Saccharomyces cerevisiae S288C: one gene and its partners. Changing the gene in region 1 together with any one later gene gives a genetic interaction. Each region holds a gene or a part of one and is shown on either strand. Other genes may lie near its edges.

Region 1 (4,133 bases):
ATTCCATATGATGATATAGCATTTACTTTACTTCAACCAGTATTGTCTAAAGAGAACGAGTTTAGTATTAGTAAAAAAATTAAAAAAAGGAAGCGTACTTGAAACTCAAACACAAACGAGAGTACAAAGGGCATTGCTAGCTTAAAATATTTAACAATCAACTTCGTCTTTTGCCAGAAGACTACATTTTGTGCCATCGAGAAGTTAGTCCAGGAGTCAACACATTAATTAAACATGCCCGCTCGAGAATATAACTATGTAGAAGGTTTTGGTGGGTACGGCTCGTTGGACGATGATGATTCAGATAGAGATTCTGAACGCAGGAATCACGATCTAGGGCAGCGAACTATAACCACAAGTCCAACAGGAGTATCAAGACATGCTGCATTAAATAGGTACATGATCCCAGGCCGTATCAATCCTCTTTTCAGACCGACAGACGCTGCTCAACCTCCCATAGTGTCTACATCCACATCAGCATCGGCAACAGAACCGACCAACAGAATAGGCCCTGGAAGGATAAAAGAAACCCCTGAAACAAATTTCAATGCATTTCTTATAGCACAACTAACCAGAATGGAGGAGCAAAATGCCAATCTGAAGGAAGAAATCAGCCTAATGAAAAAGGAACAAGAACTCTTCTTTCTAGAGAATCAAAAGAAGTTGGAGAAAGGATTTAAAGACATCAATAAGTATGTTGAAGATGTTTCCGCAATGAAAGAAGTCTTCAAAGAGGTAGTTGGTATTATGACTGGGGAGAGAATAAGATTTATAGACCATACTGGGGAAAATGTTACTCCTCAGGAAGCTGCTCGTGTTGGAAATCCATCAACAAGTACGCAAGCTCATCAAAGTCAGTCAAGATCAACAAACTGGCAAGAATATAGTATGCACGCAAGCATATTAGCCGGCGATCCTCGTATCAAGCCTGAGCCAGGGCTGTCAGACTTTGAAAATGGGGAATACGATGGTAATGAAAGTGATGAGAACGCTACCACCAGGAACCTACCTTTAAATAACCCCGATTCTGTTAGCAATGCTGATGACAGTAATAACCAACTCGATGGAACAGGAAACGAGAATGATATCAGAAACAGAAGAGGGTGCGTTGGAACGTCATATAAACTAAATCGTGCAATCCAGAACGTTACAGATGCGGCCCGTGAATACTTTGAAGGCTTACCGGGCCAACCGTCAGTTCTTTCCCTTGAGAGGAGATATGGGTCCACTTGGAGGCGATCTGCCAAAGAAAGGACTTTGTTCACTAAAAGAATGACCATCATAAAAAGAATAATAGATATAAAAGATGATCCAAGCAAATATGGTTTGTCGCTACCTGAGAATAAAATAAGTAGAAACCAAGCCATCAAGGTTGTCGAAAATATAAGATTGGGAAACAATACCTTCAAAGGACATCATTGCCGATTATCAATGTCCCAGTTATACGAATACTTCTCCAAAAAAATGGACAAACTCGAAGACTATTCACTTACTCTAAAGAGAAGAGGGAAGCCAAGAAGAATTTTCTTGTTAGAAGAGAGAGAAGCTAGATTATCATTACAGCAGCCACATAGTATACCAAATTCCAGTACAGGCACACCAGAACATGATCAAGACACTTAGAGGAAATGGAACAACGAATTTCCAGCCAAAAATTCCGAGTAGTTCATGATGAAAGATTTTTACATGCATTTTATATATAAATATATACCGTCCTATATGGATTTCATGCCAACAGGGTATATAATAGACAATTACCGGTGTACTGATATATCAACTATCGACTCCAAGCCTTTTATCTATCAGTCAATTTTACATCAAGATCCCACTTTTAGATAGGTTCGAAAATTCAATCTAATATTAGTGATTTAATTAGATGGTGGATTGCTTACCCTTTTTTTTGTCGTTTTAGGAGGAGATTCTTCGGATTTTAGGGATAAACGGATACTCCATATATAAAAAACAAAACTTCAGGCATATTGATTATCTAAAAGGAATATTCTAAAACCATAGCCATAGTAATTTATCACCAACATGTCAAACGACGGCTCAAAAATATTGAATTATACCCCAGTGTCTAAAATAGATGAAATAGTTGAAATCTCAAGAAATTTCTTCTTTGAGAAACAATTGAAATTGTCCCACGAAAATAACCCAAGGAAAAAAGATCTAGAATTCAGGCAGTTGCAGTTGAAAAAACTCTATTATGCCGTCAAAGATCATGAGGAAGAACTGATCGATGCTATGTACAAGGACTTTCATCGGAACAAAATTGAATCGGTTCTGAATGAAACGACCAAACTTATGAACGATATACTTCACCTAATTGAGATTTTACCAAAATTGATCAAACCTCGGAGAGTATCTGATTCTTCTCCTCCATTTATGTTTGGTAAAACAATCGTGGAGAAAATATCAAGGGGCAGTGTCTTGATTATTGCTCCTTTCAATTTTCCCCTACTTTTAGCATTTGCCCCATTGGCAGCAGCTCTTGCTGCAGGTAACACCATTGTTCTGAAGCCAAGTGAACTAACACCACACACTGCTGTAGTTATGGAAAATTTGTTAACCACAGCTGGTTTCCCTGATGGATTGATTCAAGTAGTTCAGGGAGCTATAGATGAAACTACAAGACTACTAGATTGTGGAAAATTTGACCTAATATTCTACACAGGTTCTCCCCGTGTCGGATCAATAGTTGCTGAGAAAGCAGCAAAAAGTCTAACACCTTGTGTACTTGAACTTGGTGGTAAATCACCTACCTTTATTACAGAAAATTTCAAAGCAAGTAACATAAAAATTGCTTTGAAAAGGATTTTTTTTGGTGCTTTCGGAAATTCTGGCCAGATTTGTGTTTCACCAGATTATTTGTTAGTACATAAATCTATCTATCCAAAAGTCATTAAAGAGTGTGAATCAGTACTAAATGAATTTTATCCAAGCTTTGATGAACAAACAGATTTCACTCGTATGATTCATGAGCCTGCTTACAAAAAGGCCGTTGCAAGTATAAACTCAACTAACGGCTCCAAGATTGTGCCTTCAAAAATTTCTATCAATTCAGATACTGAGGATCTATGCCTTGTACCACCAACCATAGTTTATAACATTGGTTGGGATGATCCTTTGATGAAACAGGAAAACTTTGCTCCTGTATTGCCCATCATTGAGTACGAGGATCTTGATGAGACCATTAACAAGATAATAGAAGAACATGACACTCCATTGGTGCAATACATATTCTCTGATAGCCAAACTGAAATAAATCGTATCTTGACGCGCTTAAGATCTGGTGACTGTGTTGTCGGTGATACAGTGATTCATGTAGGAATTACCGACGCTCCATTTGGAGGGATCGGTACTTCAGGTTATGGTAACTATGGTGGATATTATGGATTCAATACCTTTAGTCATGAAAGAACAATTTTTAAACAACCATATTGGAATGATTTTACCCTTTTTATGAGATACCCTCCAAATAGCGCACAAAAGGAAAAGCTCGTCCGTTTTGCGATGGAAAGAAAACCTTGGTTTGACAGAAATGGCAATAACAAGTGGGGGTTACGCCAATATTTTTCATTATCTGCCGCCGTTATTTTAATTAGTACCATTTACGCTCATTGTTCTTCCTGAACGTAATGTTTAAGGTTAATTAATTATTTGATGTATAAGTAACCTTTCGTTTAAAAATTTCATATGGGCGATAATATATCAATATTTATTAATTACAATTTACTCTATTTGCTCGTATAGAGTATATACTCGCTAAATACATTTTGATTACCAATCATCTTCCTCTTCATCTTCGTTAGCCTCCTCGTCATCACTCTCTAATCTCATTTTATTGGCCCTAGCAGCAAGCGCATTCGCCAAACCATCACCCAAACTTGCTTGGGCTGCAGCTGGAATAACGTTTGCAGAGGTGTTATCATGTTGTACAGAATTCAGAACGGGTTTAGGAACATCCCTGTTTTGAGGAGGAGTAGGGATATTATTATTTCCGGAATGTGGTTTCATGTAAGCTGTTGGCACCCAACCTTCCTTAGAGCCATCCAGAAGTTTCCCGAGAGACCAACCGCTTGGTTCTTCTCTTGTAATGTAAATTACGTCTCCTTTCTTTAAAGGTAACTCAG
Region 2 (6,549 bases), on another chromosome or scaffold:
TGCACAGGCCGAGCTTTGATTGTGTATAAGCATACATCCCCCTTCAAAGGTGAAAAGTAATGTCGAAGTATATGGCTATCCAGCCGCACACTGTCCTCAGGGCCCATTCAGTGCAAGAACCAAAATGCTATATTTCTGAACGGCCTAAAATGAATAACGAAATAATTTTTTCCACTTTTACCAATTTGCTGTTCGACTAACATTTCTTTTCTATTACTATTATTGTCTTATAGTGGCAAAAGCAAGCAAAACAATTTAAATTCTTAGACACAGTAATCTACCATCTTGCTAGTGTTAACGGCTGTTATGTTTCTTGCGGCGCTATTTAAATGTACTTACATTCTAATCCCTTCGAGAAAATTAATACAACAAAAATTCTAACTTTAAAGTATGTCGTATATCATGTCTTTTATGTAATGTTATAAAGGCTATAATATGAATATATGTGAAATGCAGTTACATAGAGAAGCGAACACGCCCTAGAGAGCAATGAAAAGTGATTAAACGGTCTCAATATGCTCCTCATATGTCTTTGAGACGTTCGAATCAATCATCTTCACTGAAGCACATTCCGTCTTTTGTTCAACAATGTCACTAATCGAAAGACCATCGGCTTCGTATTCTTCCACTTGGTTTATATATTTCTTCATAACAGGAGAGGACAAATCACGATGGAATTTCTCATGGCCAACAAAAACACAAGCAAATGTGAAGATGAAAACAGAACCAGTCAAGATAGCCATAACTTTGGCATAATCTTCTTTAATCACAGCACCAGAGGCATCTCTTTCTAATGGGTATCTATCAGCTAACTGTGTCTCAATCGTGGAAGCCGCTGCAGAAGCTAGATTACCTAGCTGGTAAGATAAACCGGCAACCAAAGCCCTTGCATCAGCAGGGGCCAACTCTGCAAGGTGAATGGGCAGGATACCCCAGACACCAAAGACACAAAAATATAACATGAAACCGGCACCTAATATAGCCTTTTCGCTTCTCAACATAAATGCAGGGTAGGTGAAGCAACCACCCATTGTGCATGCAATCAATAGGCCTAATCTTCTTCCAGTAACTTCCATGAACTGTCCAAATATCATACCCCCACAAATAGCACCGATGTTGGTAACCACTACAATGACAGTGACAGCATCCTTGGATAGGCCTAATTGGGCACGCAGCATGGTTGGCAACAAGTCTTGAGAAGCATGAGTCAAGTAATTTGGACCCACCAATAAAACAACCAAATATGCGAACAACAACCAGTACTTTTGAACTGTTCTCTTCATGGATACCATCTTTTGTTTAAAGTTGGCTTTTGGTAGAGGCTCGCCACCATTAGCTTTCACTGCGTCACTCAATATTAATTTACGGGCTTTCAAAACCTTGGTGAAGTATTTCGTTTCAGGCCATAACAATCTCCAGAAAATTAGTAGAATTGGTAGAAAAATACTAAACCAAAACAATATTTTCCAGCCATCATCCCTAAAGTAGCCAAAGGCTCTGTAAAAAATGATAGCAAATATGAACCCCATAGCGTAAGCAGAAAAAAATAGACCTGATAGGAACGAACGTGCTTTCACAGGTGCATCTTCAATCGCTGTTGCAGAAGCACATCCGTAAATTCCTCCCATAGCAATACCGGTTATCCACCTTACGCCCAGAAATTTCTCGTATGTGTCACACCATGGAGTACAGAGTTGTGCAATGACAAATAAGAACAAACATGTAATGTACGGCCACTTTCTGGAAGACTTATCTGTCCATAAACCAAATATGACAGCACCTGCTGAACGAACAAATAACACCAATCCCAACCCCCAGGTGATGTCCTTGGTTGGTCTGTCATATAGTTCAGCCAATGGAGCGACTGATACTGAAACGCAAAAGAAGGCCCAAGCCGCAGACAACCACGCAAAATAACCCATAAAAAAATAGTTCCAATTCTGCCATGTCATTTTGCGCAGTTCGGGTATGGGATTGACATTCTCCCAAGAAAACTCGTGGATGTGCAGTAAGGACGTAAATCTCGTTAAAGCATAACTTTTAATGGACGCAGCGCTTAGGTTTGGCTTATCCTCTTCATCTTCCTCATACTCTACACCTTGATCCTGGCTATAAACTCTTTCCAGCAATTCATCATCTCTTGTATCCTGAATTGATTGTGCAGGCAGTGATGGGTTATGGTATAGCTTTTCGTGATCCGGGTTGTAAACTTCCGGCTCATAATTTATAGGGTTACCTTCTCCGTCCACTAGAGGAGGCTCTGCAAATGTACTTGTGTTATAGTATAGTTTTCTGCCAGCAGGTTGTTGCTGTTCACCAGATATTTTCTCATCTGTAATTGACGACGACATATTTTCAGTAGCAGTATTTAATCTCTTTGAGGAAAAACTTTTGAAACTGTTACTCTTCTTCCTTTTAGATCTAAGGGAGAAGGACTAGACAACTTCCAAAACTATTTCTCAACAATGATGTGCAATGTATTTATACATCAAGAGGGTACTTCACTTTGCTGATTTTTTTTTTTTTTTTTTTTTTTTTTTTTTTGGTAAAGGATAGTACCATAGGAGATAGTAAGTGTTACTTAGATCTCCATCCAAATGACCAGGTAACGTTCTAATGCATTATAGTAGAAGGGGGGGCAAAAGACCGTTAAGTGAAGAATTATGGACGTCCGGATGGTGTGCAGAAGCTTACAAACTAACTTCCTGGTGGAGAATAATGGTAGGCTTGGCGGCTCTGAGATGGAGAAATAGTTTCAAGCCGCGCGCTCAATAACTTCCTCGATCACTGACTTTCGCACCCATCTGGGAACGGTACGGCGAATAGTCTTCATTTAATTGGAGCTGATCGAAAATGCTTGCTGCCGCTTCAGCGTGAATGACGCAGGTGCTGCGTTTGTCCTGTGCCTCCTTTTTTTTTTGGAGTCCGTTTGTCGGCTATTAGCTCTTGGGCTCTAACCCCAGGAAAAGGAAAAAGAGAAACACGCCGGTCTAGTGGAGTAAATTGCGGGGTCAGGATCCCGCGCGGATATCGGCCGTTCAAAGGGTGAAAAGAAGAAATCATTGGAGTCGTTGCGAGTCATTCTTTACGAATCTAATTTCTCCAAATTTTTACAGGTATTCTTAGCCGCCCAAGGTAGCATACAATGACCTTCTATTGCAAAAATGTACAGTGGAATGTAAAAACAGTGGGGACAAACCTGTGGAACACTAAGCGTGGGGGTCCATCCACTTAAACTAAATCGTATTGTTTAAAAGTGTGCAAGCATTGCGATAACGTTCGATTAGACTCTGAATGGAAGACAATGAGTTGATTTTGCTACCAGCAAAAAAAATAATTTATAAACACATTATTCTTGCAATATTTTTCATACTGTGCGTTTATACCTTTTGAAAATTATAGATCCATTTATATATTAATTAACATCCGAAACAAAAGGAAAGTGCGAGGACCGGCCCACCCGATGACTAACGGGAAAGTGGACATGATTTGCCATTTGTACGGGTAATATTTACATATTATTTGATGTGCTTCTTTGGATTGTGTGCAATCACTTACTTCACAGTGTCTATGTAAGAGATGTGAGAGTGTAGCTCGGAAGGTGGAGACATCTCCTAGATCTTGTCTGGCTTCGTTGGGGTAGCCATGAGAAGTTTTCCATTCCCCCGGGTCATGCATGCTGCCCGAGTCAAATAGCGTTTAACTTTGACTCGTACGCCATAATAGGTTATGTTTTATCTTTGGTCAGGGACCCCAGTATTGAGAAAGTAACCTAGGGATGCTACGCCCCAGCTTTACTACGTGGATGATACAGTAAGCACATACATATTGACGGCATCTAATCGTTCTAAACGGAAAAATAGGCGCTGATTTGATCCACTTCGGTTAGGTAACCGCTGATGCCAACGATCTAGGGCCCTTCCATTTTAGGAAAAAGGGTATATACTCTGATGCCCTGTCTGGCCGAACATTCGTATATGTGGATGTATCGTGATCCGTTCGTATTCAATAAAAGTGTAACGATCTCATCTCAAGTCAAAAGTGAGAAGGGAATAACTAAAAAAGAAAAACTGATATTTTGACGTGACGTGGTTTATTAGCAAGTATGTTTCAACCATTCTCAGCGTAAACCCTATCACAATAACGTCTCTATGAAAAGTTTAACATTTTGTCTATCTCGGTTCAATCAGTTGAATAGCGAACCTTATAGCAAATAGCATTTTCAATAAAAATGTGACATACAGACTTCCACTTTTCTTGCTTTTCTCATGCTCTGTGTGATGCTACTGTTACCGCGGCACCACATTTTGGCATACGTCGGGACATTGGCGGCTGAATAGATTATACCCGTCGCCCTTTTTTCATCTCTCCTTTTCTTTTTGTCGTAAGCAAATTACAGAATTGAATATTTGAATAACCCTAAAAAAAATGCCACTCCCCTAAAAACAAACCAGATTAAGTTGCAAGAAATAGACTGATTGGAACATACGGGTCCTATTCAGTGCTCAATAAAAATTAAAATAATGTGATCAAACAACCCGAGACTATTCTTGAATTAGCATTAGCCACTATAAATTTTAACATTTTTCAGAGTCTTTCGTGCGGAGACCGTAAATATTAGCATTGACCTTGTCAATGAAGTAATTGTCTTTGATTTTAACCGTGTTAAAGATTTCGCAAAAGAGAAAGCTTGCTGGCTTGGAGCAGTAACTTTTTTTGATTTTTTTTTACAAGCACACATGCTTTTGCCTTTAGAATATTACGGCTCCTCATGTGGATAGTAAAAACTTGACCGTTGCATCTGTTCTCCTTCGAACAAAGAATAAATCGTCTGAAAAATCACATAGAAAAATAATAGAAAAATAAAAAACATAGTAACATATTTTAAAAGAGACCTTTTATTGAAGAAAATTTGGCGATAAAAATGATTATAACATTGAAATGACGAAGAAAAGGACAGTGCCCGAATTCTCGATTCCAATAAAAGGCGAAAAATTACAATCGCCAGCATGTTTGGTACGGGGCGACTCGTGGCATTTTAAAGTACGCTGGCATGTTTAAAGGTATTAGTGTTCTTGGCGTGGAAAGTGCAGGTGTCTCACTTTTTAGAACGAACAAATTCAAACAATATACAACAATCCGCCGAAAACATTCCAGAAATTAAGATTGTTAAGCACTTTTGCTAAGAAAAAAAAAGGGCTCTCCCCTGTGAATTAACTCAAAGGTAGCGTGTTCTGCCTATGCAAGGTGACCGTTTTTGCAGATATTGTAGTGAGATGCTCTACAAAAGGGGTTTCCTAATCTAATCTTTTACCATATCAAAAATGCCCTAATATTATTATTAAAGAGCTATCAAAGCCTGATTCCTTAGGTATATGACTAGTTCCCGAATTAATGGCATTGATTCATTACTTATTTTATTAGGGGGATGATAAAAATAATGATATCTTTTTCTGCAGCGTCATTTAAGTACTGATTGAGACTGACAGTTGTGATAGAGATATTAAGTAGTAGAAACGGTCCATGAATTGTTCTTTGTTAATATTCTTGCTGAGGGAGGCTTTTCTTTTGGGCTGCTATGCTTTCATTCTACTTAAGCAACGAGATAGGAAGCTTCAAAAGGTGAATGGTGAAATGCTGAAGAAGATTTCGTCATTCCAATCCTCGAGAGTGCGACGTAAGTAGTGACTCTAATGAATTTTCTATGCCTCATAAAGCTTGAGGTATATTTATCCATACGCAAATAATACACGATCTAGGATTATTGTAGTATGTTATTGTTTGACAATATCCTTGGACAAGTTCTAATCACTTATATTTCCCAAACATGATTCGTGTATTTTGGCGTTAGAAAACGACGGCAAGTAAGCTCCCAACATTTACTTGACGAGTTTTTTGTCACTATCATCACGCCCTAGAGCCAAGTTATATTTTTATCGTAAATTCTGTAAATTAACAGTCATTCTAAGCAGGTTGTTTTAATATTTACAGGTAACTTGGCTGACTTCTTTTAAATGTGGCTTCTATGACAAAAAAACTGAAAAAAATGACTAATTAGTAAATTCAGCCTCTTATCATAAAATCAGGGTCTATAGGACGGTACGTGAGAAAAAGATAAGCTTTGGAATATAAAGAGTTACATTTTCATTCTGCAAAAATTCAAATAAAGGAGTATTGAAAAAAAACTTAAAAAGTACAAATAATTAATATAGTTCGAGATATTTAGTTTTCATTGAGTTGGAAAAATGATTGTTCCCACTTATGGAGACGTTTTGGATGCCAGCAACAGAATTAAAGAATATGTAAATAAAACACCGGTTCTCACTTCACGAATGCTTAATGATCGACTTGGAGCACAAATATACTTTAAAGGTGAGAATTTCCAACGAGTGGGAGCGTTCAAGTTTCGTGGAGCAATGAATGCTGTTTCAAAATTAAGTGATGAAAAAAGAAGTAAGGGAGTAATTGCCTTCTCATCAGGAAACCATGCACAGGCTATTGCTCTTAGTGCAAAACTATTAAATGTACCTGCAACAATTGTTATGCCCG
Region 3 (6,271 bases), on another chromosome or scaffold:
TGTTATATTATTATCCAAACAGTACAAATAAATAGCCCGAAAGAGGAAGGCAATTTCTACGGTAAAGTCTTTCCAAATACTTTCAGGAAATTTGATTTTAGATAATATATCTGGCCTTGATTGAAAAAGTGCTTCTATAGCCTTAACACACACTGAGGATCTTGAGACATCCAATTTTTCTAGTAATTCTATCAAATCGCCATCCAGAGCATTTAACCAATCATGAGCAATGAGTCTCTTACACGCATTTCTCACTGATAATTCCCTATCTTCTAAACCCCACTCAATCAATTGATCAAAAATATGCGGCTCAATATCATCGAAACACTTTCTTCCCATTGATTTCAAAATTCTCGAATACACGAGCCTTCTATTAACGATGTTTACATCTCTAGCCCTCTCCAAGATATACGGTCTAGTATTATTATCATTGATCAAATTCAGCATTGCAGCCCTCCGTACTTCAGCTGACGGATCGTTCTGGATAGAAGCAACTAGAGTTCTCGTAGCTTCAAAATTTTCTTCATTATCAGAAAGCTCAGTTAAATGTTCAGTTTGCTCTTCATCCTGAAATTTAGTTAAACAAAACACAGCCTGTATCCTAACCGTTGGTTCTCTATCATAAATCCTCTTATTTAAAGACAATATTAATAAATTGAAAAGTGATTCATCGATTTCCCCTATATTATCCATTATAACGGCTAATAACTGTAAAACTCTAAATCTGACGTTCTTGTCAGGGCTTTCCACACCACGCAAAACATGTCTTATGAACTGATCGACGAACCTTGAGAATATCCCTTCTTCATCATTCGTGAGCTTATAGTTTTGTTTTTTGGCCAATATCAACTCCCTTTCTAAAGAAGCTATAAATGCAGCTACTAACTTTACTATCCTGTCTCCGATAATCTCATTCTTTTTCAGAGGAAGGATCTTAGTAACTAATTTATCGAACCAAAAGTTAAAAGCATCTTCATAGCCTTGCTCAACAGCCTTTGACTGAATTTTCTTCAAAACTGCTATATGCTTCCTGTGTCCTGCATAAGAACCCTGTGCCTTTTGAAATACTTCAGCAACTGAGTTAAAGATTTTCGTATTAATGTCAATACCATCAGGATCTTGCATGATGGGCGCGGCCTGTTAACTTCTTTGTCTTATCCAAGGCTGTAGGCATTACTGAAGTGTTTTTGTTTGATCTTCAAAGAGCTAAAAAGGTAAACAAACACGAAGGCTCTACCCTTTCATATGCGGTGCACGGATTTTAAAAGTCGCAATAACTCAAGAATACGATAGATGCAATAAATCAGAGGTAAAGTGCTTTAGGCTAATACTATGAGCAATTCAGTATAACCTGCATTATCTCCTTGTTTTCCTTTGTATCCCCCATGATTTTTTTTTCTTGTTATTCCTCTTGATACCATATTAGGCAGGATTTTTTTCAAAAAACCAAATGAAAAATTTTCAGACTGACAAGAAAAAAGCTACGAATGAGCTCATCGCTACTTTCAGTTTTAAAAGAAAAGTCAAGAAGCCTGAAAATACGAAACAAACCGGTGAAGATGACCAGTCAGGAAAGGATGATAGTGCATAGATGCAGATTTGTGGATTTCACTCCTGCCACAATCACATCTCTAGCATTTTCACATAAATCAAATATAAATAAGTTAACTCCGTCCGATTTGAGATTAGCTATTGGTAGATCTAATGGTAACATAGAAATCTGGAATCCTAGAAACAATTGGTTTCAGGAAATGGTTATCGAAGGTGGCAAAGACAGATCAATTGAAGGCCTTTGCTGGAGCAACGTTAACGGCGAGTCTCTAAGGCTATTTTCTATTGGCGGCTCGACTGTGGTAACAGAATGGGATTTAGCAACAGGTTTACCATTAAGAAACTATGATTGCAATTCAGGTGTGATATGGTCTATTTCCATCAACGATTCACAAGACAAGCTGTCTGTGGGTTGCGATAATGGGACGGTGGTCCTCATAGATATCTCTGGCGGGCCTGGTGTCTTGGAACACGATACTATTTTGATGAGACAAGAAGCCAGAGTATTGACTTTGGCTTGGAAAAAGGATGACTTCGTGATTGGTGGTTGTTCTGATGGTAGAATAAGGATTTGGTCTGCACAAAAAAATGACGAAAACATGGGTCGTCTATTACACACTATGAAGGTCGACAAGGCCAAAAAAGAATCAACTCTAGTTTGGTCAGTTATATATTTACCAAGAACTGATCAGATTGCCTCTGGTGATTCTACAGGCTCCATTAAATTCTGGGATTTCCAGTTTGCCACGCTAAACCAGTCATTTAAGGCGCACGATGCAGACGTACTGTGTCTAACTACCGATACTGATAATAATTATGTTTTTAGTGCTGGTGTGGACAGAAAAATCTTTCAATTTTCTCAAAACACTAACAAATCTCAAAAGAACAACAGATGGGTAAATTCTTCTAATAGGTTGCTTCATGGAAACGACATTAGAGCAATATGTGCATACCAATCTAAAGGTGCAGATTTTCTAGTTTCAGGAGGTGTTGAAAAAACACTAGTCATCAACTCACTTACTTCTTTTTCTAATGGAAACTACAGGAAGATGCCAACTGTCGAACCTTATTCAAAGAATGTTTTAGTTAACAAAGAGCAACGCCTTGTTGTTTCATGGAGCGAATCTACTGTTAAGATATGGACAATGGGAACCGATTCTAGTACAGAACAGAATTATAAGCTAGTTTGCAAGTTAACTTTAAAAGATGACCAGAATATCTCAACTTGTTCTTTATCACCTGATGGACAAGTTTTAGTCGTAGGGAGGCCCTCTACCACTAAAGTTTTTCATTTACAGCCCGTAGGTAATAAATTGAAAGTGACTAAACTAGATAATGACCTATTATTGAGAACTTCCACAAAATTAGTCAAGTTCATCGATAATTCCAAAATTGTCATATGCTCTTGCGAAGATGATGTATTTATTGTGGATCTAGAATCTGAAGAAGATGAAAAACCGCAAGAAGTTGAACTTTTGGAGGTTACTTCAACTAAGAGCAGTATCAAAGTTCCCTATATTAACAGGATCAACCATTTGGAAGTAGACCAGAACATTGCAGTAATTTCTCGTGGCTGTGGAGTCGTAGACATATTAGACTTAAAAGCAAGGATTTCTAAACCACTTGCTCGTTTGAATAATTTCATCACCGCTGTTCATATCAATACTTCTAGAAAATCTGTAGTAGTAATTACTGCAGACAATAAGATTTATGAATTCAATATGAATTTGAATTCGGAAGCCGAGAATGAAGATAGCGAAAGCGTATTAACTCAATGGTCAAAAAACAATACGGATAACTTACCAAAAGAATGGAAGACATTAAAAGAGAACTGTGTAGGGATATTTTCAGACATAGAAAATAGTAGCAGATTATGGTTTTGGGGGGCTACTTGGATATCAAGAATAGACTTTGATGTTGACTTCCCTATAAATAAGAGAAGAAAACAGAAAAAACGTACACACGAAGGGCTAACTATCACAGATGAAAGTAATTTCATGAACGACGAGGAAGATGACGAAGATGACGATATTGATATGGAAATCAGCGAAAACTTGAATGTATTATTAAACCAAGGAAACAAAATAAAGTCCACAGATGTACAAAGAAACGAAGAAAGCTCCGGTCACTTCTTCTTTACTGATAAATATAAACCTTTACTGTTTGTTGACTTAATTTCTAGTAATGAATTGGCAATAATTGAAAGAAATCCATTAACTTTTCACTCCAAACAAAAGGCGTTTATTCAACCAAAGTTAGTGTTTTGATTAATTTAAGTCAACATACCGAAGAATAGAGAGATGCTATTAAAAGGCTATCATACTCTAAGGGCATTTTTCAGTTACAAAAAACTCTAATGGCGTTAGTACTTTATAGAAACTCGCTAATGTAAAATAGCCAAGCACATACGCAGACATATATATGTAGTAATCACGTATGCAGACATTAAATGTGAGCCATTTATTGGTATAAATGTATTCCTGAATTACAAAAGTACTGGCGATGGAATCACTCTGGCTATCACTGTTATTTCCAGGCAGGGTAATACTTTGGGAAAACAATAGAATAATGAAAACATATGATCAGTAGCTAAATTGACCGACCTAAAGAGCAAAGCCGGATCTCATGGTTTTTAAAGGGATATCACCGAATTTCCTGGCGACTTATCTATTATGGATCTTGAAAATGTTTCATGTCCCATTTGTCTAAGGAAGTTTGATAACTTACAAGCACTAAATGCACATTTAGATGTTGAGCATGGGTTTAACGATAATGAAGATTCACTCGGTTCCAATGACAGTCGTTTAGTCAATGGTAAACAAAAAAAGGCCAGATCTGTTGATAGCAGTGCGCAAAAGTTGAAAAGAAGCCATTGGGAAAAATTCAAAAAAGGGAAGAGCTGCTGTCACACATGTGGAAGGACTTTGAATAACAATATTGGCGCCATTAATTGTAGGAAATGTGGTAAACTGTATTGCAGAAGGCATCTTCCTAATATGATTAAACTTAATCTTTCCGCACAGTATGACCCCAGAAACGGGAAATGGTACAATTGCTGCCATGATTGTTTCGTCACAAAACCTGGCTATAACGATTATGGCGAAGTAATAGATTTAACACCAGAATTCTTTAAGGTACGAAATATAAAAAGAGAGGACAAAAACTTAAGGCTATTACAATTAGAAAATCGGTTTGTCCGTCTAGTTGATGGTCTGATTACACTCTATAACACATATTCTAGATCCATTATTCATAATTTGAAGATGAATAGTGAAATGTCCAAGTTAGAACGTACAGTTACTCCATGGAGAGATGATAGAAGTGTACTCTTTTGTAACATATGTTCCGAACCATTTGGGCTATTACTAAGGAAGCATCACTGCAGATTATGTGGTATGGTTGTTTGTGATGATGCAAACAGGAACTGCTCAAACGAAATAAGCATAGGTTATTTAATGTCTGCAGCGTCAGATCTGCCATTCGAATACAATATACAGAAGGATGATTTACTTCATATTCCTATATCCATAAGATTGTGCTCGCACTGTATCGATATGCTATTTATTGGCAGGAAATTTAACAAGGACGTTAGAATGCCGCTAAGTGGAATATTTGCTAAATATGATAGCATGCAAAATATATCCAAAGTAATTGATAGTCTCCTGCCCATTTTTGAAGACTCATTGAATAGCCTGAAGGTGGAGACTGCCAAGGATTCTGAAAATACACTTGATCCAAAGAATCTGAATGATCTCGCTCGATTAAGACATAAATTACTCAATTCTTTTAACTTGTATAATACACTAACAAGACAGCTCTTAAGTGTAGAACCTCAAAGTCATCTAGAGAGACAACTTCAAAATTCGATCAAGATAGCTTCCGCTGCATACATAAACGAAAAAATCCTACCGTTGAAGTCGCTTCCGGCAATTTTGAACCCAGAGGGCCATAAAACGAATGAAGATGGGCAAAAAGCTGAACCAGAGGTAAAGAAATTATCGCAACTAATGATCGAAAACTTGACCATAAAAGAAGTGAAAGAGCTGAGAGAAGAATTGATGGTCCTAAAGGAACAAAGCTACCTTATTGAGTCCACAATTCAGGACTATAAGAAGCAGCGTAGATTGGAGGAGATCGTCACACTTAATAAGAACTTAGAAGAATTGCACTCAAGAATACATACCGTTCAATCGAAGCTGGGTGACCATGGGTTTAATTAAGACATATCTTTATTATTCGATCATTCGCGGAATCTCCACGCTAATTGGTCCGCGGAGCCAATCAGATCTATTTAAGGGTATAAATTTTTCTTTAGTTTTTTTGACTTTTCACACAGAAATTTTAGATAAAAGGAAGTATTATATCGGAACATAACGTATATAGGAACTAGCTGAGTGAGTTAAAGGATGTCGACAGTTAATGTTTTGAGATACTCTGCGTTGGGTTTGGGGCTATTTTTTGGTTTTAGAAATGATATGATTTTGAAGTGTAATGCTAAGAAGAAAGAGGAGCAGGCACAGTACGAGGAGAAATTGAAGCTGGTAGAGGAGGCAAAGAAGGAATACGCCAAGCTACACCCTGTAGTAACTCCTAAAGATGTGCCTGCGAACGCCTCATTTAATTTGGAAGATCCTAATATAGATTTTGAAAGAGTTATTCTTAACGCCGTTGAATCCCTGAAGGAAGCTTCAACATAAATAGAAGCTTCAACATAAATAGG

Evidence for each region. A genetic interaction does not mean that the proteins touch.
Region 2: mutations in HFD1 (region 1) and JEN1 together harm fitness more than expected from each alone (negative genetic interaction), as found in Saccharomyces cerevisiae (one large-scale study listed by BioGRID).
Region 3: mutations in HFD1 (region 1) and PEP7 together harm fitness less than expected from each alone (positive genetic interaction), as found in Saccharomyces cerevisiae (one large-scale study listed by BioGRID).

Annotation. Positions count from the first base shown.
Region 1 is NC_001145.3:489,894-494,026, reverse strand, and holds HFD1 (hexadecenal dehydrogenase), read left to right. Parts: upstream 1-2,034; coding exon 2,035-3,633; downstream 3,634-4,133. Other genes in the region: EUC1 (Euc1p), read left to right, coding at 235-1,623; MYO5 (myosin 5), read right to left, coding at 3,781-4,133. UniProt on the Saccharomyces cerevisiae protein: Catalyzes the oxidation of long-chain aliphatic aldehydes to fatty acids. Responsible for conversion of the sphingosine 1-phosphate (S1P) degradation product hexadecenal to hexadecenoic acid.
Region 2 is NC_001143.9:18,036-24,584, reverse strand, and holds JEN1 (monocarboxylate/H+ symporter), read right to left. Parts: upstream 2,352-6,549; coding exon 501-2,351; downstream 1-500. Other genes in the region: threo-3-hydroxy-L-aspartate ammonia-lyase SRY1, read left to right, coding at 6,246-6,549. UniProt on the Saccharomyces cerevisiae protein: Essential to lactate transport.
Region 3 is NC_001136.10:1,111,980-1,118,250, reverse strand, and holds PEP7 (phosphatidylinositol-3-phosphate binding protein), read left to right. Parts: upstream 1-4,223; coding exon 4,224-5,771; downstream 5,772-6,271. Other genes in the region: condensin subunit YCG1, read right to left, coding at 1-1,125; small subunit rRNA maturation protein UTP4, read left to right, coding at 1,488-3,818; TIM11 (F1F0 ATP synthase subunit e), read left to right, coding at 5,958-6,248. UniProt on the Saccharomyces cerevisiae protein: Required for vacuole segregation and vacuole protein sorting. Possibly part of a complex which tethers the vacuole membrane to microtubules, either directly or via kinesin or dynein-like motor proteins.